3 linked regions of the Oryzias latipes genome follow. The protein of the gene in region 1 interacts with the protein of each later gene in a pairwise test. Links are inferred from orthologs where the notes say so. Each region holds a gene or a part of one and is shown in the gene's direction. Other genes may lie near its edges.

What was found.
Region 2: the proteins of tfip11 (region 1) and lmo4 interact in binary tests that used the Homo sapiens proteins (3 or more experiments, as listed by UniProt). The two-hybrid records come from large-scale screens. The link is inferred for Oryzias latipes from reciprocal best matches to the Homo sapiens genes TFIP11 and LMO4.
Region 3: the proteins of tfip11 (region 1) and zmat2 interact in binary tests that used the Homo sapiens proteins (3 or more experiments, as listed by UniProt). The two-hybrid records come from large-scale screens. The link is inferred for Oryzias latipes from reciprocal best matches to the Homo sapiens genes TFIP11 and ZMAT2.

Annotation. Positions count from the first base shown.
Region 1 is NC_019867.2:13,546,997-13,554,981, forward strand, and holds tfip11 (tuftelin-interacting protein 11), read left to right. Parts: upstream 1-3,030; 5' UTR 3,031-3,159; intron 3,160-3,558; 5' UTR 3,559-3,560; coding exon 3,561-3,766; intron 3,767-3,845; coding exon 3,846-4,011; intron 4,012-4,092; coding exon 4,093-4,249; intron 4,250-4,358; coding exon 4,359-4,486; intron 4,487-4,616; coding exon 4,617-4,778; intron 4,779-5,011; coding exon 5,012-5,203; intron 5,204-5,314; coding exon 5,315-5,494; intron 5,495-5,637; coding exon 5,638-5,772; intron 5,773-5,899; coding exon 5,900-6,003; intron 6,004-6,080; coding exon 6,081-6,249; intron 6,250-6,374; coding exon 6,375-6,618; intron 6,619-6,757; coding exon 6,758-6,900; intron 6,901-7,013; coding exon 7,014-7,179; intron 7,180-7,304; coding exon 7,305-7,651; 3' UTR 7,652-7,782; downstream 7,783-7,985. Other genes in the region: clustered mitochondria protein homolog, read left to right, coding at 1-495; srrd (SRR1-like protein), read right to left, coding at 1,372-1,612, 1,690-1,841, 1,946-2,044, 2,130-2,308, 2,396-2,436, 2,547-2,689. UniProt on the Homo sapiens protein: Involved in pre-mRNA splicing, specifically in spliceosome disassembly during late-stage splicing events. Intron turnover seems to proceed through reactions in two lariat-intron associated complexes termed Intron Large (IL) and Intron Small (IS).
Region 2 is NC_019862.2:4,583,034-4,590,939, forward strand, and holds the start of lmo4 (LIM domain transcription factor LMO4), read left to right. Parts: upstream 1-3,924; 5' UTR 3,925-4,369; intron 4,370-5,337; 5' UTR 5,338-5,372; intron 5,373-5,460; 5' UTR 5,461-5,465; coding exon 5,466-5,701; intron 5,702-7,906. UniProt on the Homo sapiens protein: Transcription cofactor. Plays a role in establishing motor neuron identity, in concert with MNX1, acting, at least in part, to disrupt LDB1-LHX3 complexes thereby negatively modulating interneuron genes in motor neurons.
Region 3 is NC_019872.2:3,286,876-3,294,828, reverse strand, and holds the start of zmat2 (zinc finger matrin-type protein 2), read left to right. Parts: upstream 1-3,971; 5' UTR 3,972-4,042; coding exon 4,043-4,060; intron 4,061-5,448; coding exon 5,449-5,548; intron 5,549-5,633; coding exon 5,634-5,757; intron 5,758-5,882; coding exon 5,883-5,956; intron 5,957-7,630; coding exon 7,631-7,776; intron 7,777-7,948; coding exon 7,949-7,953. UniProt on the Homo sapiens protein: Involved in pre-mRNA splicing as a component of the spliceosome.

The DNA of each region.
Region 1 (7,985 bases):
AAGCACCTGGAACGGAAGGTAGCAGCAGCCAAAGAACTGGGAATCAAACTGATTACCGGCTCTGCCATTACAGACCTCATTAACGCAAGAGAAGGAATTTCAAATAGGGAAACAGGAAACTGGAAGGAGGTTCAGGATGGGAGACACAAAGCCGAGGAAAACGGGGGAGAAATCCAGGAGCAGCAGCCTGCGGAAGACCAATCTAAGACTGCAGCTACCGTATCAGCTCATAGCTGTGAGGAAAAGGCCGCTGAGCAGAGCAAAGATGAGGGAGAAAGTAGCACAGAGGCTGTAGCTGTTGATGCCAAGAAAGAGAAAAATGATGAGGAACATGGTGCAATGAATGGAGCTGTGGACAGCCCTGTCAGCCCATCCAGCCTTAAGAGTAAACTGACATGGGCAGATATCGTTGGTTCAAAAGCAGTCAATGGAACAGGAAGTAAAACGGTAAACGGAGCAGACAGTGTCGCTGTCAGTGGAGCGGCTAAAGAGTGAAGGCATAAAGAATACTGGGTTTGGGAGAGTTTAAAAGTCACTGCTGTAAGGCGAACCGAAGATTTAAGCTGTAATGTGATTTAAAGCAGGACGAGTGTTACTTTATTCATAAAAAACTTTCTGTCTGTAAATGCACCATAGTTATTACAGGAGGTGATCAGCTGTAATGTGACTAAACGGCTGATGTTTTTGGATACATTCTGACTTTAACACTAGCCCAGCAATTTTTTAAAACATTTTTTTTATTCAACAATGCTTGTGCTCCATACAGAAAAACTGAAATTCTTGTTTTTTCTTTAAATCTTTTGTCTGAAAACAACGTTGTTCTTTTGTTGTTGCATTTGTTCAAACCTTCTTTGTGATTTGATGTCTCAACTTTCTTGATCCTGTCGAGTGTTGTGCTGTGAAAAAGTATTCCCAAGTTTTAATAATTTGTTCAAAATAAATTCTTGGTGAGTTTTTAATCGGTTCTAATTAAATTACTTACAGACATATGTTGATAGTGTATGGGGTGCTAATAATGCAAGTCTTGTGCAACAAAGCTGGTATTTGAGGTTACATTTTTCATTTTCCCTAAGTTTGAAGTACACTTCCATTTTCAAAACTATTTGAATAAAAATGTGTTTTTGGAACCAAGCTTTGTACTTGAGATGCTTCATTAAATAAATGAATTTAAAAGTTGCTAGAAGTGTTGCGAAAGGGGATAAAGTTCTAAAAAAATGGAAAGTACTATAACGCCATATACATGAAGAAAACCATCTTTAACTAATTGGCTTGATTTGTAATGTTCCACTTTCGTTTTGTGAAAAATCTGAACATAATAGTTTCCTACATGTTTGAAAATTTATATCAAAATTTTATTTCAATGAAGTCCAGTCAGCTCTGAGTTTCCTTCAGGATTATCTCCAAATCCTGGCGGTCTCTGTATTCAGGTTCAGGTGACTCAGCCCAGTTAGTCTGTGGCACTTTGTGTAAGATGTGGGGAGGAAAAGCAATGACTGCCGTATCACTGAAGACATCTATCATGTGAGAAGGACAAGGCAGCATTTTTTCCTCACAGAGGTCCACAGCTTTACTGATGTAGCTGTATTCCTGTTTGAACACTCTTTCCACCGTTCTGCAACAGACAGAGGACATTATTTCATCTCTGTTTGCTAAAAACGATGCGCTCCATCATCAGTGTTTTCTACGAACCTTTCCCTCATACCATTGAAGCTGTTTCCAATGATTACAAGCTGGTATAATCCCCGTAAGCTCCAGTTTTTCCACAGTAGGTTGTTGTACAGAGCCTTCCCACAGTGCATGAGATAAAAAAGAGTGGGCTTGGTCACCAGACGCTTCCCCTCCTAAATAAAACAGCGGATACTTTAGTCTGTTTAGATCTCAGTTACGGTGATAACATCAGCAGTTTGTTCTCTAGAAGTGCAAAAAGAAAAACAATTGACATGACCTCGTTTTCTGTGAGTACAGTCATTCCCAGCTCCCTCAAGACATCCTGCTCTCCAGAGGAGAATATGGGATCATAAACCAAGCAATCCCTTAAGGAAACCTTTAGGAGAAAAAAAACTAAATGAGCAACTCAAAACAAACATAACACATGTTTGTTAGAACATAGTCTAATGCTCTCTTCTGACCTGTAATACTTCCAGCAGCAGAAGCAGCATGGCAAGCTGATACCGGGCTGCAGTGCAAGAAGAAAAGGAGCCAAGGCCATAACACACACACTCCAGCTGATCACCTGTGTTCTTCAGATGCTCCTCAGTGACGTCCTTCTCTGCAGATGCTGATGCTGTGGATGCCATCAGCAGCTCATCTGAGGACGAGGAACATAAGAGTTACAATTCAATTACACACTAAATAAAAAAAACATGTCTAAAAAATTTGGTTATGTTTTACTTACCTTTCCATTTGTGCCAAAACTCTTCGCATCTCAACTCAGTCCTATGAGACAGAGAGTAAAGAATGAGATATCAGAATTAGTTTTCCCCTCGATAAGGCACAATGAACTATGTTTATGAGTGGTTTTCCGTTTTTTTTATTTTATTTCTTACACAGTGGTCCTGATCCGTCTGACAACTTTCTCGACATCAAGCTGGTCTTCTTGGACGCTGGTGGAACTTAAAGGCACATGAGATTTAAACTTCCTTGTTTGCCCTTTTCGACGCCGAGCGACCTGCCACTCACTTTCAGACATTTTTTTTATCTCATTCCCATCATTCAACGATCTATAATAAAATGTTAGGGGTGAAAAAAAAACAGTGATAATAATTAAAAAACAAACACCCTAATCACCTCCGCCACAAAATCAGCAGCGCGTAGGACGGTTTTAAGTGTAACACATTTGTCTTCCGGTGTAACGCCAAAATAAAAGCTTTTATCACATAATTTATTAACCTAAATGTGTGGTGTTGCTGTTTTAACTTAGAGAAATTTATATAAAAACCAACACAAATCTTTAGTAAATGCAAACAAATAAAAATAAGTAAAATCTCAAAGTTTTAAGGTCACAACATTTATTCGTCAGTACTGACGGACAGACTTTACCCGGAAGTATTTCCACGTTCGTGCGTTGAACGAAAAGCTACACAGATAACCTCTTCTTGCTACAGACAGCCAAGAATGAGTTTTAATTAATCTCTAAGTGTATAAACTATTTCTTGTCAAGTAAGCTTTGTTTGTATTAAGTGCCTTTCTACTTTCCAAGTTCGAAATGTTTCTGCAGTCGTAATGGGATTTAATGTCCCAACTATCGTTAGCTAGATTTCGCTAAAAAATCTCATCATTTGCATTATTAATATCTGAGTTCTGTTAGTTAATACCTTTTTGCTTGAAACTTCTTAATGTATTTTTACGCTTTCAATCATACAAATGTGCAATACAGTTGATATTTATGTTGATAATTGTTTGTGACCGAAACAGTTTTGTGGCTAGCTTCGTGCTTAGCTAGCGTTAGCAATCATTGCTGACTGTGGTTTCATGCTGTTGTACGATTTTTTAAGCAACTTGAATGTTTTTCAATTGTATGGCTTTTATGATTTTTTTTTGTATTGGGTCTCTATCTAGAAATGTCGATGTCCCATCTTTACGGGCGGAGGGAAGAAGAGGAAGAAGGTGTGGAGATCGAAAGCTTCGAGGTGACAGACTGGGATCTGGCCAATGAGTTTAACCCAGAACGCCGCAGGTTTAGGCAGACCAAGGAGCAGGCCACTTATGGGATCTGGGCTGACAAAGATTCAGATGAAGATGAGAGACCCAGCTTTGGTGGCAAGAGGTAATTCACAGGTTTGATGCTCTGATGTCTAAATGTGAAAATTTTTGCAGAGGATGTTAACAGTGTACATTTTCTTTAGGTCGAAAGATTACAGCACCCCAGTGAATTTTGTTAGTGCCGGTCTACGTAAAACTGCAGCCGAGGAGAAACAGCAAGACAAAGAAGAAGGTTCTGATGATTCGGAAGAGGATGCCCCTGCAGTTCCCCCTCCTACTCGTGGAATTGCACCTAGAAAACTTCAGATGGTAAAGTTTCGCTTAAGAACATATTTTATCTAAAAAAGCTTTCTTTTTAAACTGACGTCTATAATTTCTTTGTTTTGTCAGAGTAATTTTCGTGGGAATCAGTCCCAGAGGTTTGCTGGTGGAATACAATCTGGACAGGGTATTGGAACCTGGGAGAAGCACACAAAAGGAATTGGACAGAAGCTTCTGCAGAAAATGGGTTACCAGCCTGGAAAGGGGCTTGGAAAAAATGCTCAAGGTAGGCAGCGTAAAGGAGGAAAAGTACTGTACACGATTGTGCTTTTGCATGCATTTCAGAGGGAAAATAATAGAGATTTTATTGCCATGCCTCTGTTTTGTTTATGTAGGTATTGTAAACCCTATTGAGGCAAAGGTCCGTAAAGGTAAAGGAGCTGTAGGTGCATATGGCAATGAGAGAACCCAGCAGAGTCTGCAGGACTTCCCTGTGGTTGACTCTGAAGAAGAGGAGGAAAAGGTGAGATTTTGCCACGAGCAGTTCTTTACTCCATATAATCTTGTTTTCACAGTGATTGTGTATCTGAAGAATTGAGGGCTAACTGTGAAATTATCTTCTTGTTTTTCTCCTGTAATGTGTGTTGTTGTAGGAGTTTCAAAAAGAATTGGGTCAGTGGCGAAAGGATCCTGCGGGCTCCGCAGTCAAGAAGAAACCAAAATACTCATACAGAACTGCAGATGAGCTGAGGGCTAAAGGCAAAATGGTTTCTCGGAACATGGCAGCATCTGCAGGAGAGTTGGCGCAGGTTAAGGTGCGTTAAAATCCTGCGTTATGTCCTTTTAATTTCGGGTCAGAACAATGAAAAAAACCACAAACTTTAATATTTTAAAGAGCTTCACAAGCATCTACTTGTTTTTTTTTTTTTTTTTACATTTCCTCCTTTCAGCATAAAACTGAAATAAATTGAAAGATTTTTATGGCCATGGAAGTAAAATGATTCAAGTTTTCTTTTTATTAATTGTTTTTATCTCTCTTCAAATTTAGGTTATAGATATGACTGTAAGAGAGCCAAAGGTTTACTACAGTTACAGTCAGATAGCCAACAAACACAGTGTTCCCGATGAAACCCCACCAGCCATGTCCACACGGGATCAGAAGGGTTCCGGCTTCGCTCTCCCTGAGCTTGAGCATAATCTTCAGCTGCTGATCGACCTCACAGAACAGGACATTTTACAGGTCAGAGGAAAATCTGAAATTCTTTCAAATCATTTTCAACTATTAACCCGTTTCAAGTGGGCTTCCAGATTTAATTTTTTTCTTCTGCTCTCTTTATTTATTCTTTTGTAGTCGGCCAGACGTCTACAGCATGAAAAGGACGTGGTCGTTTCTCTGAGTCATGAGTCCCGTGCGTTGCAGAGCAGACTAGAAGCAGAGCAAGATGCCATCCAGAAAATGGAGGCTGTTTTGGCACTGGTGGAGCGTTTTCCCTCTGGAGAGACGCCACCAGGGGAGGGACCGACTCTTCAGGTACGTGGCACATGAAAATACCCAAACTAGATGTACTTATCTTGCAGTTTATTTGTTCCTAATGGTTTTTAATCTCCATTCTTCTAACATTTAATCATTTTGAACATACTTATTTGTTTATTTTCTCACCTCTCTGTGCCCAGGAGTGTGCCCAGATCTTTGAGACTTTACAAACAGATTATTATGAAGAGTATAAAATGATGGGATTGGCAGACCTGGCTGTGGCAGTTGTTCATCCTTTACTTAAGGAGAAACTTCACTCATGGGAGCCTCTAAAGGTTTTTTTTTTTTAATTATTCTAATTAAATTATTACGCTTTTATTTCTGTGGGGGGGAAAACAAACACCTTATTTTCAACATGTTGCTCAATTAAGATACTAGAGTTAAGACTGTTTTTTGTTGTAGGACAGTGCATACTGTCTGGAAGACATTGGTCAGTGGAGAGCAATCCTTGAATCCAGGGATCTTCGTTCCAGTGGCCCAGACTCCAACATGGATCCTTACCACAGGTCTGTTTAAAATACTCACTTTTACATGTAAATGTTCACATTTTGATTTTTAACTGCATGTGTCTCTCTTTGCTTAGACTTTTATGGGAAGTGTGGATCCCTGTGATGCGTATGTGTGTGTCCGGGTGGCAGCCCCGTATGGTTGGACCGATGGTGGACTGTGTGACGTTGTGGGCTCCTCTTCTGCCTCAGTGGATCCTGGATCACCTACTGGAACAGCTGATCTTACCCCGCCTGCAGCGCGAGGCAAGGCACACAAATTATAACAATCCTACATGCTTTTTTTTTTTTTTTTTTGTTCTACTTTTTCTTGCATCTGAAGTGTGTGTATCACCTGTCAAAATCTCCCTACATTTTCTCTTGTTTATTAGGTAGATAACTGGAATCCTTTAACTGACACGGTGCCCATCCACTCCTGGATTCACCCTTGGCTTCCTCTACTCCAGTCGCGCCTGGAGCCTCTCTACCCACCTATCAGGAGCAAACTTGCCAACGCTCTGCAGCGCTGGCATCCGAGTGATGCCTCAGCGCGCCTCATTCTTCAGCCATGGAAGAACGTTTTTACAGCAGGTGCATGGGAGGCCTTCATGGTGAAAAACATCATCCCTAAACTAGGTTGGTTTTCTTTAGTCACTAGCTTTAGGCGTTGCAAAACTGACTGGATCACTGACTTCTATACCTTTTCATTTCCTGTCACAGATTTATTTATACATATATGTATTTCACATGTGAAAATCTCTCTTTCCTGCCAAAGCTTTATGTCTGGAAGAGCTGGTCATCAACCCGCACCAGCAGCAGATGGAGCCGTTTCACTGGGTGATGGACTGGGAGGGAATGTTGTCTCCCTCCAGTCTTGTGTCCCTTTTTGACAAGAACTTTTTCCCAAAATGGTTACAGGTATGTGAATGTCATAACAAATAGTAAAATACGTAAAGCGTATTTCTTAAATATATAGGTTGAATAAATCCTCTGAAATTGCTGTATTTTTTATTTTTATTTTTGGCTTTTAGGTTTTGTGTTCATGGCTGAGCAATAGTCCTAACTACGAGGAAATCACAAAGTGGTATCTCGGCTGGAAAGGCTTGTTTAGTGACATTCTGTTGACTCAACCTCTCATTAAAGAGAAATTTAATGAGGCTTTGGACATCATGAACCGTGCAGTGTCATCAGGAATGGGTTTGTGTACACACAGTCTACTTCATAAATATGAAAACCAAAGATCTACCTTAATTCAAACTATAAAAGCAAAGTTTGAGAGATCTTTGCTTCACTTATGTTGAGTCCGTTATTCCTTTTCACAGGTGGATATATGCAGCCTGGTGCAAGAGAGAACATTGCCTATCTCACACAGACGGAGAGACGGAAAGACTTCCAGTATGAAGCCTTGCAAGAGCGCCGGGATGCAGAAAGTGTTGCTCAAAGAGGCATCGGTTCTGGTGTGCCAACTAACTTTAAGGATCTAATTCAGGCCAAAGCAGAGGAAAACAACATTGTTTTCATGCCCATAGTGGCCAAACGGCACGAGGGGAAACAGCTCTACACATTTGGCCGCATTGTTATTTACATAGACAGAGGTGTTGTGTTTGTGCAGGGGGAAAAGACTTGGGTGCCAACATCTTTGCAAAGTCTGATAGATATGGCAAAATAAATGTACCTTAAAAGATATTTTGTTTTCAGGTGCTTTTATTTTTGTCTTAAAAAAAATAAACCAGTTCATTTCATGTATCTTTAGATGTAGTTTTTAATGTGATATTTGTAAATAAATTATTTCTGTTTATATGTTGTCTTTCTTGTTGTCCTTTGTACCCAAAAATAGATATGTTGATACAAAATATTTGTGGAGGTTTGTTTTTTAATTATTCTTATTTGGGGATATGTATGTTCACTGATTTGCACACCAACTTAAAATTAATTTATAAAATATTGCTGTGTTGAAAAAATATATACATTCTTATTTTAACGACAATTTTACGTTCACTGTA
Region 2 (7,906 bases), on another chromosome or scaffold:
AGATTGAATCCAAGCAGGAAGTACCCACTGGTTCCAAGAAGCCAAAACCCCATAGACCTCTGTGGAGAAACAAGCAGCTATTACTCAGTCACTATATTGGTCAGAATAAGCATGCTCCCTTTATAAACATGTTCTTAATGCTCCTCATTTTGAACATATTTTTGCTGTAGCGCAAGTTATAAACTGACCAATCAGATGCGTCGATAAAAGTGTGTGGTCTCACGTGCATGCATTCAAAAAGTTTGATTGAAAGATTTCATGTTGCCCACTTTCAAGTGGTAGGGATGTGGCCTTCTGACAAGCTCACTCCTGATTGGTGAGAGGGGTTGCCATGGAAATGCTGACTCAAATCAACTCAGATCAATCACTCCTAGCTAACATTTTATGTTTCCGACATGGAAAAAAGTGTGTATCATAAAAAAAGGGGGACCAACTTGACTTTATTTAGTTGGAGCAGCAGTAAATTATTATCTATGGGTGACACTGTTTAATCTCAAAGTCCCACTCCAGTCGCATTGTAAAAGTGTTCCCCGTGGTCTTTTAATCATAATTACGCCGTTTATAGCCCAAATTGAGACAAAACTCGTGTCGTTTTCTCTGACCGTTTCTGCAGAGCAGCAGTAGTTCATTAAAAATTCACCTCTGAGTTGTGGGCGGCACGAGTGGCGCGGAGTATAAGCCTGCCCCCCTTACACTCCCCGTTGGTGAGAGTTCTCTGTTTACATGCTCTCCTGCAAGCTTACAGCTGCCACAACCTAACATTACAGGTTAACAAAAATGGTGAGCGATACTGAAGATACCCAGCCGTACAGTTTTGTTGGGTTAAAACAACCTACAACATCAGAACAACATCATTAGGAAAGAAATCCAACAGCCCAAAGGTACCGTTTTAACGAGGGGAGAGAACAGAGATCCTAAACATTAATTGCAACATGTCCATCCTTTCACAGTCTTCCCACATCATCTTTGGACCTGCGAAGCCTTTTCTCACGGATAACTGACACAGAGAGGCCCTTGATTCCGGTCTTGACACAGCTAACACACAAGTTCTCTGGCAGATGCTGGGAGGACGCAAAGATAGCCGGTTTCCCCTAAGGGTTTCACCTCCACCTTCCTGTGAAACAAAGTTGGACACACACACTTCTGCAAACATGATAATATCACCTATATAGCTAGGTAATGCATAAAAGCAAATATGAGATGCCTTATATACATAATTCCAACAAGTTTAGATCCAGATTCCAGCTCAGACGAGGAAAACAAAGACAAGCCTGGATCTATTCGTCTGCAAGTGAAGACATCAGAATGGAGCAGAGCAGGGAGCTTGTAGCATCCAGCGTATTTTCTGCATCACAAATAAGCTCTGTATGAAGCGGAAATTTTTCTCTGCTTCTGATTCACAAGGATTTGATTGAATCAAGGCAGATTTGTCTTCATACGTTTTCTTATGAAAACGCTGACAGATTTGTAAATGAACCCTGATATCCGGTAGTAATCTTGTCCAGACTAAAAAAAAAAATATTCTATATATGGAACTGAAAGTTAAGTCAGAAAAATCACTAAAGACTGAAGAATTTTTCATTGAAAACGAAAGATGATTAAAGCTACAAAAAAGGAATTTAGGAGCTGTAGCACAAACTTTGATGTCAGCTGATATTCAGTGAAAGATACTGACTACCACTTATCAGAGTGATGATGATTTTAGCCTTGGTATTTTTGTGTTTTTTTCCATTCAGCAAAATTAATTAAACTTAACTTGACTTTTTCCTTGGGATGTCTAAATAAACAATTACAATTTGGCAATGGTAATTTCAGAGGACTTCTTTTCATTTAAAGGGCAGGCTAATAACTTTGACCCGAGCGCCAAAAAAATAAATAAATAAAAAAGTTTGATTTTATGGATTTATTGTGGACTGAAAGATATCCACACCTGATTCCTCTTTTAAAATCCAGAATCAATGCAAAATGTTTCATCTTTTCTAAATATTTTTCAAGGTCAGAACAGCAATTACAGGACATGGAGGCTGTTTGGAAAAGAAAAGAAAAAATCCATGCACCAACCATCTTGATCCGGTCATGGCCACACAAACACATTCAAGCTCAAAGCTTGGAGTGATAGGAGACTTTGTGTGTTTTAAAGCAGCCTCTTTAGGAGATGATCTGTCGGCCATTCTCCGTTCAATCTGGGAGCAGCTGCGGTTAATCTGAACGGTATCATCAATTCACGTGATTTGTGTAATATGGTATCAACCATTTTTCTGGTGCTGCAGATGGCTGAACTAACCTGGGTGTTGTTGGCTTGAGTGTGGCCTGCAGTGTGGACAAAACAGCCTCTGAGGCTCAGTGTCAAGTCAACAGAGCAAATCTGTAGTCAGGGAATGAGCTGAGTGTGGCTCCGCTTACTCCCACAGGACCAGCGGCTTGATTATGAAAGACCGTGGTCTTCTTTTCACGTCAGTTGAGATTACCCTGTGGGGAGTTTTAACACTCAGATCCACATCTGACGCTCTCTTGTTCCTGTTTAAACATTGAAACTGTGTTGCGCCATATTGTTGTTCGCCTCTTTTCTTCTTTTTTCATAATGCAGCTGCTCGGAAACTTCAGGAATCTCGGCGGAGTGTGGAGATGATCAATTTCTGAGGGAACCCCCACGTCGCCCGTCTCCTCTTCCTCTCACTGACCTCTCCACCTCCTCCTACTTACTCCAACTTCCAATAATTATTTTTGCAAGAAGTAATTTCTCCTGCCCAGTTATGAAAAGCTCATTAAAAAGAGGACTGGAACAAACAAAGCTTTTCCTGTGAGGCCTCTTTTCAAATTCATTTTCTAATTTCCCTCTGTTTTAATCATTTATATCAATTAATCATTCCTTGGTGGAAAAGATATTCTTTGCAATCTTCTGTGGATGTTTTTGTTCTGGTAAGAGGCAAGCTTGATGAGAGTGTCAAGAGAATGCGGCTCAAACCAAGGTGGATCAGCGCTGGCTTTGCCAAAAGGGAAATCAGTGTGATGCAAAGCAATCTCCTCAGAGCTGCGAGAATAATTAAACAATTAAAGTCAAGAAAAAGATCATCTTTACACATCCAAAGCCAGGGGTATCATATCCAAATGGATTTTTTTCTTTTTTTTTGTCATGTAAAACTCTTAAACCTGGTTAATCTCTTTGAAGATAACTTCTCTTTTGCATTATATTTTATTTTTCTTGTTTCTAAAGTAAAAAACTAAAATAAAAATACAATAAAAAGAGCCATATTTTCATGTCAACTTGTGACACATGCAACACATTTCTCGCATGTAGTTCATGATTAATCTCTCATGCTTGCCATGATATTAATGTTAAGATAAATACATGTAAAGAAAACCCTCAGACAAATCAGATTCAGTGTTGAAATCAATGACCTGTGGACTTTAATGGGGTTTTCAAAGCAGAAAGTCTCCCTGCAATTACTGTGGGTGGCAGACGATGGCGCCACCGCGCAGCTGTTGTCCCGCCAGTTCCCAGAGGTTGGAGTCACTCTCAGTAAACTAAGTAGTTATTGAATGTCATCTAATTAAACTGTGACGTGAGGTGAATGCAGTTTACTGGATGTTGCCATGCAGCTTGGAGCTGATGCTACAGGGAGATGCAGATAATCAGAGACTTCCCATGATGCTCTAATCACAGCCAGGCAGTGATTTCGAGATTAAGAAATGACGTTCAAATTGATTCTGAATTTGACTATTTTAGATTTTGGGTATTGAAACATTAAATTCAGTTTTTAAGAAGTGTTGGGGGGGGGGGGGGGGGTCCTGTCTTTGCCAGTGTAACAACATTGTTTGTGTGCGTCTCTTGCTAAGTCTCTCTCTGCTCTGATTGGCTGGATTCGGTGTTCTTAAATGAGCTGCCAGCGGATTGGCTGAGAGGGCTTTGTCGTCACGCGGCTAAAGAGGGTTTTTTACTGGAGGTTTCTTCCTGTCAGAGACACATGTAGAACAAGCTGCCCGCGGATCCACCGTCGTATTTCCTGTGCTCCGTTATTCGCGTCATAATCTCGGTTTGTGCCGCTCTTCTCTGCTCTTTTGGGGAACTTTACTGTCTCGGAGACCTAATCATCCTGCGATGGACAGCTTTGGGTCCGTCATCGGCCACAAATCGCTTTCAGAAAAGCAGGAACCGTCCGCTGGAAATACTATCTGATAACTCCATTTGCTCCGCTGTACGAGTCGCGAGCTCGCTGCCGCGCGGGGCTGGACACCGACGGCGCACTTTTTTATTTATTTATTTTTTTAAATAAAACATTTTTTCCTTGACTTTTTGGGGACTGCTGGAGCTTACCCGTTCTCCTACGCAATCTTCAGACCCGAACTTCAGCCATTAAACTCCAACGAAGTGAGTATATGTGTGTCAAAGTCTAGACTTTGCCTCTGAAAGCGTGTTTTCTTTTGAAGATAGCTGTGATATTTGATACCCGAGACTCTTGTTTTTTCACTGAACCCATGGCCGTGTAATTATCCCGCAATAATCTTTACATTTTCCGGTTGAAAAGCAGCTTTCAGGACCTTTAGCACTCGCCTTTTCTCCCTTCCATTTCCATGTCTTAGTCTCTGTGCCCAAATTGCCTGACCGTGTAATTACTTACCCATTTAATCTAAAAAGCCTCCCCTCCTCCTCCTCCTGCCCCGCCTGTTGGAAACTTGACGATGGCTCGCCCGGTTCGTGCGTGGAGTCACTTTCAGGTCGGCTTTTTGTTTTGTTGTGTTTTTTTTTTTTTTTTCATCTGCTTTTAGATGTAATCAGCGCGGAGGTTCGCCGCGGTTCGTCCCTAAGAGCCATCGCTAATGGGCTTACTGAATGCTGCTCTGTCTGTGCGCGCGCGCGCCCCCTCCCCGCGCCTTCTCCTTCCCTAATTGGCCTACCTGCCTTTCAACAAAGATTTGGCTTTATATCCCGGCGTCGCTGCTGCCCCGGAGTGGTGGTGATGGTGGTGGAGGAGGGTGGATGGGGGTGGGGGGTCCGAGCACGTATTAACGTCTGGAAGGGAACGGCCGTTTGGCGGTGAAGTTATGGCGGGCAGGTCGGTGGAAGCCCGCGGGGCATCAGGTGTTGGTAAACAAGCAGGAGCGGCTGTGCTGCTCAGTCAGTCAGTCAGAGGCACTGCTTTCACTTTAGAGGCAGCAGAATTGTTCCTTTGGCCCCACAGTGTTATCAGTTAACAGACATTCATCAGCAGCGATGCCCCCGCGCAGGGGCCACACAGGCAGAGATCAAGGGCAGATTAATTCACTAAATGACTCATAGCAGAACATGGCTTGTTCGTGTAATGAGATCAGCTCCTTCTCTTTGCTGGGGGGTCACAGAGTCTGCAGCTGCAAAGTTAACAATCTCCACAAAGGTGGTGTAAAACTCTGCCATTATCTGCTAGGATGATGTTGCATACCTGGTATCAACACGTGATGTTTGTTTTTGTTTTGTTTTTTCAGAGACCATGGTGAATCCTGGAGGCAGCAGCCAGCCGCCGGCGGTGGGCGCCGGTTCCCTGTCCTGGAAGCGGTGTGCGGGCTGCGGGGGCAAAATCGCAGACCGCTTCCTCCTCTACACCATGGACACCTACTGGCACAGCCGCTGCCTGAAGTGCTCCTGCTGCCAGGCCCAGCTGGGCGAAATCGGCACGTCGTGCTACACGAAAAGCGGCATGATCCTCTGCAGAAACGATTACATCAGGTGAGAAGGGGGGGTTAGGGCCGTTTCTGTGGGGCTGTCCAAGGACACAAACGCACTCTGTAGGTGAGACATTTAGATAGGCCTGCATCACAAATGTATCCTCATCGCAATATCAACCTATACGCATATGGCAACAGGCAGCCTAAATTAGGGATAAATGGTTACTTTTTAAATGTTCACACATAAACAATCTTATGGCCGCTTAACAAATTAAATGGAGCCCTTTGACCAATCAGATGCAGCCCTTTTATGTCAACTGTCTGCCTCCTTTGTAGACGAGGGTCATTTGGATTATAAATGAAGTTATGTTGACTTTTATTGAAATAAAAAAGTTGCACCGAAATGAAGAAAAAAAATGCCCTTTGCTTATGTATCCCAGACACTAATATTACAAGTCTTCCTCATGGCGTGCAGGACTTTATGTAAATTCAATCAGGAAAAGAGATGTATTTCTCTTGTTGAAGTTTAAAAAAAGAACCCTATTGGGAGCAGGAAGAGTGTTCATCAGCTGCTTTGGCCTCTCCTGTCATTCAGTTCAGCTGAATGGGAATGTTTCTGCTTAAAGGTACAAAATCTCGCCCATTTGAGTTGTTTTTGGATGTGCAGCCAGCAGATCTGCACAGATGATTCCAGATCTAAAGTGCGCCCGTGCGCTCTTACTCCCACCTCATATAAAGCAGTGGGAAGTCAATGGGGTACTTCATTCATAATGGTACTATAACGTAATTAAAATTGGAGCGGGAGGAAGTGTGGATACACCTTTCCACTTGTATTGAGAGCATGCTTGGTGAAAGAGCTAAAGCGCAGATTATGGAGGCAGGAGATCTGTGCAGAGATAAAAACGCTGAAGTATGGCTGGGAGAGGGAGGCAGAGAAAACATCTGAGAGAGACTCTACACAATTAAATGCTTTAATTATAGTCCCCCCTCCATTTCCTTCAGTCCTGATGGGTTTTATCTAATGAGATCTGGTCCCTGGCTTGTTTCTGCTACCAATGACGTGTCCGAAATGAATGAGAGCCACACTGCAAACAAAACATTTAATTAACCAAATTGGCTTTTGAGAGTGCAGGAGAGAAAGACAGACAGACAAGAGGGATTATTGTGAAGGCCATTTGCGGCTGTTTTTCTCCCCCCCCATCTTAAAGGGCCAGTCTGTTTTTTAAGCCATTGAACTCTCATCTTCCGCTCAAATTTGCAGTTTAAATAATAGTGGTAGTGGATGATTTTGCTGTTTGAAGCTGGAGGTGATGTTATAGCTGCTGCTGCTGCTGCTGCTGCTGCTGCTGCTGCTGCTGCTGCTGCTGCTGCTGCTGCTGCAGGGGGGATTCTTTTCCTGGGGGCTGCTGGATTCAGAGGGAATGCTGTCCCCTTAATTGAATAAGTCTAGGTAATTAAATGGCACTTTTCCAATAGAACGTGTGAGGTAAATCTAATAGTTGGTTATTTAATATCACTTTGAAGTCTGCCCACTCAAGCAGGATGACAGCACAAGAGAATGTGAAGTATTAGTCCCCCCCCCTTCAAAAAAAGGAGGGGGGGGGGGTGGGATCTCAGAAAATTAATTAAATCTCGTGCAATTCAGAGGAAGCGTTTATCTTGATTTGTCATAACCGAATTAATTTGTGGCCTTCGATTCACTTGGGGCCGGATCTGTTACTCTGAATTAACCAAGAGTAGTTTGGCTATACAGCCCCCCCCCCTCTAAAAACACATGCACACAGAAAGATCCACCAGCCCTCCCTCATCCTGCAATTCCCCCCCCCCCCCCCGCCCCGTCCACCCGTGCCTCTAATGCAGCCTGCCATTATGCAAAGCCCCGCTCCAGTATCAATATGGCCTAGTGCTTTTAAGATGCTTTGGCTGCTGATGTAGAGAGGCATTTTTAATGGACTGTGTTGCAGAAATCATTGTTGTGGGGGTAATTTTACCCTACTCAAAGGTCTGGCTGAATGAGGTCTGCATTTAGCAGACAGCCCAGCAGCCAGTCATGCTATCTTTCAGCCGAAATGAAATTCAATAGTCATGGCCCATATAGACAACCGACAGCTGGGAATGGGTTGTTTTTGTTGCCTTTCTTCTCTGCAATTTAATCAAAGACGGATCGTCTTTGAGGAAGACGCGTCGGGATGAAGACGTCTTCCAGGAATGTTGTTAGTTTTCCATTTAAAGGCGGGCTTTAATTCTACTGACCTGACCTCACCTG
Region 3 (7,953 bases), on another chromosome or scaffold:
TTGCTTTTTCATTTTAATTTTGAGTCAAAAAATGCAGCTTCATGTTGAAAACGAAAATGCATTTCTGGTTTTGACTTTGCTTTTTATTAATGCTACAGAATCGCTTCCATACATTTCACACATTTACGTATTTTAAGTGCGATCAAGGCTGGATTTGGTTGTTGGCCCCACGTATTTAAACTGAAATAGAAACTCAAGACCCATCTTTTTAATTTGGCTTTAACATGACTTTGGTAGTTGCCTGATTATTTGATTCTTTTATTTATTAATGGAGTTATTAATTTATCTATTTTCATTACTTAATACATTTTTTAACATTATATGAGGACTATTATTATTAGTTTTTTAATACCTTTTTTAATTTTCATTATATTCATGATATTTAAAGTTAATTTTACTTTTTGTATTTTAATTGCTATTATTGTTATATCTTATTTTTAGTATTGTTATTTTATTGTAATTTATATTCTGATGTTTCATAATCAGGTGTTTCCTCTTGGGGATCCATTTTAAGCCCATCGTAAATTTGGGCTGTACAAATAAAATTGAATTGAATTGGAGAACTACCGGCTCCGCCTCTAGGGGGTGCTGTTGCTGCGGTGCTCGTTTTCATAGGGTCGGCTGGGGTCTCGCTCTGTGGTCTAAATGCTGTGGCAATGACCCTCGTGGTCAGGTTGGGCCTTGCAACATATGGATTACTATTATGTCATTTCTGCACAGCAGAACCACACCAGACTTTTTCTTTAACCTGCAGTTTTTGTTCAGGGTTATATTGGGGGAACTGGGTGGATGGAGGGAGGAAACTGGTGAGGGAGGGGTCCCATCGGTGTGTGATTCTCCTAAGTTTTCTATTTTAATTCATTTTTATATTTTATGACTATTTTATTTGCTTTTATGTCAAGCGCTTTTGCTTTCAAATAAAATGACAGGCGTTATACAAATAAAGTTTGAATTTAAAGTTCCCAGATGTGTTCTCTCTCTGATCAAGTTTTAAGGCTTGCATTGTCACTGTGTAATTTCAAAAACTGTAGAATTTAAATGAGGTCAGTCTTCCCACACGTAACGGGCGCGGATCTGCCTGGTTGCAATTTAGTTCGGGTTGCGCATCCGTTTACCCAAAGTAATCTGCGTTGTGTTCTTGTTCTGCTGGACAAATGAAGAGAGTCTGGACCCAAACATCTGCTGAACGCTGCCCTTTTTATTGATGACTGCAGCAGGATCTGTACATATCAAACAAAAAATGAAGAAAAGTCGCTTACATGCAGTTCCCTGCTCAAACACATGGGGTCGCAGTATCCTGTTGAGCGGAAAACGAGAAACCTGTCCACACATGTCTTCTACCAAGTGTAACCCTTGTTACACTAACTTGAAATTAATTTATAAAGTATTGGAAAAATTGGCTCCAGATCCTCTGGCAGAGATGGATCACCAAAAAAAAAAAAAAAAACGATTCCAGGCCTCAGCAGCATGTCTGTGTTTCACCCACGAAAACAAACATCCAAATATTTGCAAAGATGGATGTGCAAATTGTGCATACAAAATAAACGCATTTAGCCGATCACCGCTAGCTCCACGGAGAGAGTGGAGTTTGTGCTAGTCTGGCTGGGGGAGGTGCTGGCAGCACAGACTCTTCCTGGAAGGGGCTGTTCCTCACTTTGTGACATCACAATGGGAGAACTCTCTTGTTTTTGTGGGTTTGGAGGGGCTGGTGCTCAGAGAGCAGGTTTTTAAAGGAACACCCAGAAACGGGTAAATGGATCCAAATATTCCTTTGGGGTTGTTCATTATGAATGATGAACGTTATAATACAATTATACCATCGTCCGGGTGAATACCCGATTCTGATTGGCTGCTGGGTGTGCGGTAAAAAGCGATGCAGTCGCCGCACCATGTAACAAATAGTCCGCTTTTTGTGATAAAAGCAATCCTCTTGCTTTATTTTGATAAGCGCTTCGCGTCGGATGGTTCAGGCTTCACGGCGTGTGTTAAAAAGTGCTAATGCACACTTCGTCGGCCATTAACCCTTAGTTAAAAGATCACAGAGTTGCTTTTGCATGATATAAGCCCTTTAAAAGTACACTTGGAAGTAGATTGTGCAGTCAGATTGAGAAGTCAAATTGTACTAATTCCACAGAGTGGTTGTGGAATCACTACGCACAGAGTGCACCTAGTGCGTTCACCATTTTGTAAAGCTGTTCAAATTTCAAAATCAAGTGGTTTAGAAATTATTTGCGAAAGATTAGTGTGTATTGATGCTCGCTACTAGATTGGCGTGTGTAGACCACAATGCAATTGAACAATTTTTGAGAGCAAAAATGTATTTTATTGTTTTGTATGAACACTCAATGATTTCATCATCAGAGCACAGTGGATTCATAAATAGTCTTCATGCATTGCTCATATTGATTAGATTTTAACTTTGGGAAATCAGTGATGTCATATTCGCAGTTTTAAAATAATGAAGTCAGCAAGGTGTCCTAATTGCTTTTAAAATCCGGGACATTGGATAGTCCCACACTTATAGTTTTATTAGTAGTTAGGGATTAGGGTGGGAATTCGGACATAGCCAGTGAATTGTCTGAACTCAATGAGTTATATCGCTAGAGGAGACACGCCCGCTTGGGAAGCCTGGCCGACGGTGGCGGAACGCAACGCCATCTTGGTGAGGTCAACGACGCCTACATGACAATGATTTCTTTAGCCTTTGGTAGCATCTAAGTAGCTTTTATATAATTTATATTTATTCAAATTTCTATATATTTATACATATAAATAAACACATGATAAATGTATATAATTTTTATATATATACATCATTTGATGCTTTTAAATAAGAGAAACAGTCAGCTTTAAAAGTTCAAACTTTAATGAAAAATGCATTGTTTTTAATTTTTAAACATTTCCAAGTTTTAGACCTCTTTGACATGTAATTGAAATTATTTAGAAAAGCCCAACAATAAGTCAATAATAATAATAAATAATAACAATATATAAATAATAAGTCAATAATAATAATAAATAACAAATATAAATAATAAGTCAATAATAATAATAATTAATAACAATATATAAATAAGTCAATAATAATAATAATAATAATAATAATAATAATAATAATAATAATAATAATAATAATAATAATAATGAATCAATAAATAATAATAATAATAAATCAATAGTAAGTCAATAATAATATTGAATGATAAAAATAAATCAATAATAGGTAAATAATAATAAATGATAATAATAAATCAATAATAAGTCAACAAAAAGTCCAAAAGTCAACAACAGATTTTCCCCTTTAAAAAAACAAAGAAAAGAAATAGATTTACCTCCTGATTCATGTTAGTGATAAATTTGTGTGACACAGTTGGTTTAGTGTCGGGTTTCAAGCTAACAGTCTGGCCAGTCTCATCAAAATCTGTTTCCTCAAATTGTTTTGAACATAGCCAGACTGTATTACTAGTTGGTACCACAGTGATCCATCTGGGTTAGCTCTTTTTATTGCTAAGGCCCACTTTTTCCTTAAGTCTGAATCCATTGGAAACCTGCAATAAAATTTCAGTCACTGAGTCAGAAATGTATAAATCTCTATTACTATAATAGCCTAGTATAATGTATACAGGTTTAACACAATAAAGTTTACATTTATATCGACAGCAAATTATACGTACATCATGCCTACATGTTGATAATCGCCCTGCAGCATCATGCATGAAAACATGTGTATGATTAATGATGCCCCTGCAGCATTAAAAGAAAAAAATATATAATACTTACCTGTGAAATGTTATGCCTTCCTCCTTCGTGGACTCATTTCTCTGATTTTGGCAGTTGAAACCCGAAAAATGAACTGGTATTTTGCAAGAAATGTGTTCACATGCATGCACTACAGCAGTAATTTGACCTCACCAAGATGGCGATGCTCTCCCCCCTTGAGGAATCACGTGATGTCTCCTCTACCGATAGAACTAAATTTAGACAGGAAACTAGCAATGACGAGCTGCAACATCCGGTGACGTATTTTCCGTAGGTAAACAAGATGGCGTCCGGCAGTGGGGTGAGTTTCCAAGCAGAATTTCTCTGCCCCTGTTTGTTGTAATACAGTTTAATTCAATAAACAAGATTAAAATTCTTCACTTTATATTTGGTACCGTGGAGGCGTTTTGACTGTAACCGTTACAGACATCAGCTGCTGCCGTTAGAAGCGCGGCCTCGGACTAGCAGCGGCTAACTCGCTCTGACGCTTGGGTACTTTATTTGCAGAATTTTACGGCCCTTTTTAAAAAAAAAAAAAATTAGTACCAAAAACGTTTTGACTCAACCGCCGTTAGTTTTTATCTTTAAAGGACTAATTCAAAGGTGTAACGAATTCCGGTGTGGCAAAATAAAAGCTCTTGAAGTTTATTTCGTAAAGCCGACTGTGATGATAATAAATGAAACTGTAATAATAAGGATAATGTCCTTTTTGGTTTTTGCAAATATGAAACAATGTTTCTGTTGCTATATTATAAAATTTATAAACCCACCCCTGTTGAAAATGTTTACTTTGATAATATGAATGAAAGGGAAGAGCTGTCGATCAATACAGACCATGAATTTCTGCTTTTTTTTTTTTTTTTTGGATGCTGGTGTGCCGCGGGATCTTTTTCAGGGTTAAAGTGTGCCGTGGCTCAAAAAAGGTTGAAAAACACTGGTCTAGAGTGACTTAGGGTTTCCTGTCCTGTAAGCACAGCTCCACCAGCAGGCGTATCCCCCTGGAGCCTGACGGCACCATGCATTTGGAGAGCTGATCAGTTTCAGGCTGCAGCTGCAGCCAGGATCAGGCTGTTGAACGGAGATTTCTGAAAAATCTAATGTTCATTATGAAGGATCTCTTTGGACTCATCTGTTTATCCAACATGGATGCTTCCCGTCAGCTGGATGTTCGGCCTGAGCCCTCCCCTTATCTCGGGTCACGGAGTAGGAACAGCCCTTTTCCCAAACACCATTAAATACGAGCAGCAGCATGGCTCACGCATAAATCATGGGTCACACGTTCCCCATGATTTGTGCGTTCATCCATACCTCTCTGAGCTTTTGGAATCTCGGTTAAGCTCATATCTTTCCCTGGAGGGACAGAGATCCAGGAGGAACCTCTGGGAAGAGCCAGCTCCTCCTGTTTGAGCTTGGAAGGTGCACAAGGCGTCAGCTCTGACAGTCCAACAGGCATCTTCACCGTCTGCATTTAAACATTCTTCTGACGAAGCATGAGGCTTTCCTGCTTTTGTTCCTTCTCTGTTGTTGTGTCTCTGTGGTTCTGTTTTAGAGTTTTATCAATGAAGTTGAGTTGAGAAGCTGTTGCTCTTTTGTCAGGAGGAGTAAAAGCTCCTCGTCTTCATCAGCTGAATGTTTGTTGAGATGTGAAGATAATCGAGGCGCTCTGAGTCATCTTCTCGTGTCTTCCAGTCCAGCAAGAACGACTTCCGGCGGAAATGGGACAAGGACGAGTACGAGAATCTCGCTCAGAAGCGGCTGAACGAGGAGCGCGAGCGGGAGCTCAGGGATGGTGAGGGCAGCGCTCTCCGTTCTTTGGGGACCCTTGGGGGTCAATCGCTTATCACCCCTGACGCATGACCTGTTGGCTCTTTCAGGAAAACCTGTCCCTCCCGTCAAGCGGGAGCTCCTGCGGCACAGAGACTACAAAGTGGATCTGGAGTCCAAACTGGGGAAAACTATTGTCATCACCAAGACCACCCCTCAGGCGGAGATGGGCGGGTGAGTTCCTGACGGCTTTGGGTTTGGAAAAATGGAAAACTGAAACTCTTTGAACCAATAAGAAAAAGTTGTGGAGCAGAAACGGACAGGTCTGGGTTCTGGTTCCGACATATTTTTTTTTTCAGATATTACTGCAATGTTTGTGACTGTGTGGTCAAAGACTCCATCAACTTTCTGGATCACATCAACGGCAAGAAACGTAAGTACACCTGTGCTTTAGGGAGGGGCCAAGAGCGCAGATGTAACGTGGATCATTTTATACAGTCAGGTCCATAAATAATGGGACAGCGACACAATTCCAACATGTTTGACTCTATATGCCACCAAAATGGATTTGAAATAAAACGAACAAGATGTGCTTTAACTGCAGACTGTCAGCTTTAATTTGTGGGTATTTCCATCCAGATCAGGTGAACTGTGTAGGAATTACAACAGTTTGCATCTGTGCCTCCCACTTGTTAAGGAACCAAAAGTAATGGTCAGAACAATAATCATAAATCAGACATTTACTTTTTAATACTTGGTTGCAAATCCTTTGCAGTCAATTCCAGCATGAAGTCTGGAACTCACAGACATCTCCAGACGCTGGGTTTCATCCCTGGTGATGCTCTGCCAGGCCTCCAATGCATCGGTCTTCAGTTCCTGCTTGTTGTTGGGGCATTTTACCTTCAGTTTTGTCTTCAGCAAGTGAAACATTGCATAACATTCCACTTCTTTCCCTTAAGAAGGCCTTTAGTTGCGGTTGCAGTTTGCTTTGGGTCATGGTCCATCTGCACTGTGAAGCGCCGTCCACTGAAGCATTTGGCTGATCATGAGCCCAAAAGCCTTCAGAATTCATCCTACTGCTTTTGTCAGCGTTCACATCATCAATAGATAGAAGAGAACAGTTCCATTAGCAGGCATACATGCCCACGCCATGACAATACCACCACCATGCTTCACTGATGAGGTGGTATGCTTAGGATCATGAGCAGTTCCTTTCCTTCTCCATACTCTGGTAGAGGTTGATCTTAGTCTCATCTGTCCATAGGACGTTTTTCCAGAGCTGTGAAGACTGTTTTAGATGTCGTTTGGCAAACTCTAATCTGGCCCTCCTGTTTTTGAGGCTCACTAATGGTTTACATCTTGTGGTAAACCCTCTGAACTCACTCTGGTGAAGTCTTCTCTTGATTGTCGACTTCTACACACATGCACACCTTACCTCCTGGAGAGTGTTCTTGATCTGGCCGACTGTTGTGAAGGGAGTTCTCTTCACCAGGAACACAATTCTTCGGTCATCCACCACACATGTTTTCTGTGGTCTTCCGGGCTGTTTGGCATGCTGAGCTCCCCAGTGCGTTCCTTCTTTTTAAGAATGTTCCAAACAGTCGTTGTGGCCACGCCTCATATTTTTACTATCTCTCTGATGGTTATTTTTGTTTTTTCAGCCTAATGACTGCTTCTTCACTGATAATAACAACTCTTTGGATCTCATCTTGAGAGTTGACGGCAACAGATTGCAAATGCATACAGCACACTTCAAAAGCTCTGGACCTTTTATCTGCTCTTTGTAGTTGGGATAGTGAGGGAATAACACACACCTGTCCCTGGAACAGCTGAGAAGCCGATTGGCCCATTGCTTTTGGTTCCTTAACAAGTGGGAGGCACAGATGCAAACTGTTGTAATTCCTACACAGTTCACCTGATCTGGATGGAAATACCCACAAATTAAAGCTGACAGTCTGCAGTTAAAGCACATCTTGTTAGTTTCATTTCAAATCCATTTTGGTGGCATATAGAGTCAAACATGTTGGAATTGTGTCGCTGTCCTGTTGTTTATGGACCTGACTGTATGTCCATGAATGTGTGTTGATAAATGTGTGTGTGTGTTCAGATCAGAGGAACCTGGGCATGTCCATGCGGGTGGAGCGCTCGTCTCTGGATCAGGTGAAGAAACGCTTTGAGGTGAACAGGAAGAAGATGGAGGAGAAGCAGAAGGAGTACGACTTTGAGGAGCGCATGAAGGAGCTGCGGGAAGAGGTGAGCGCCCCCTGCTGGTCAGCTCCCAGAGTCCTGTGAAATTTGGAAAAGGCTGCTCTGTTGATTCTTCTGCTTTTTCCAGCGCTCCTACTTTCATTCTTTTCTTTCAGTGTCTTCAGTGTTTTATAATCTGGTGAAGTCATGAATAAAAACTGGTTCCTGGTCTCCTCAGGAGGA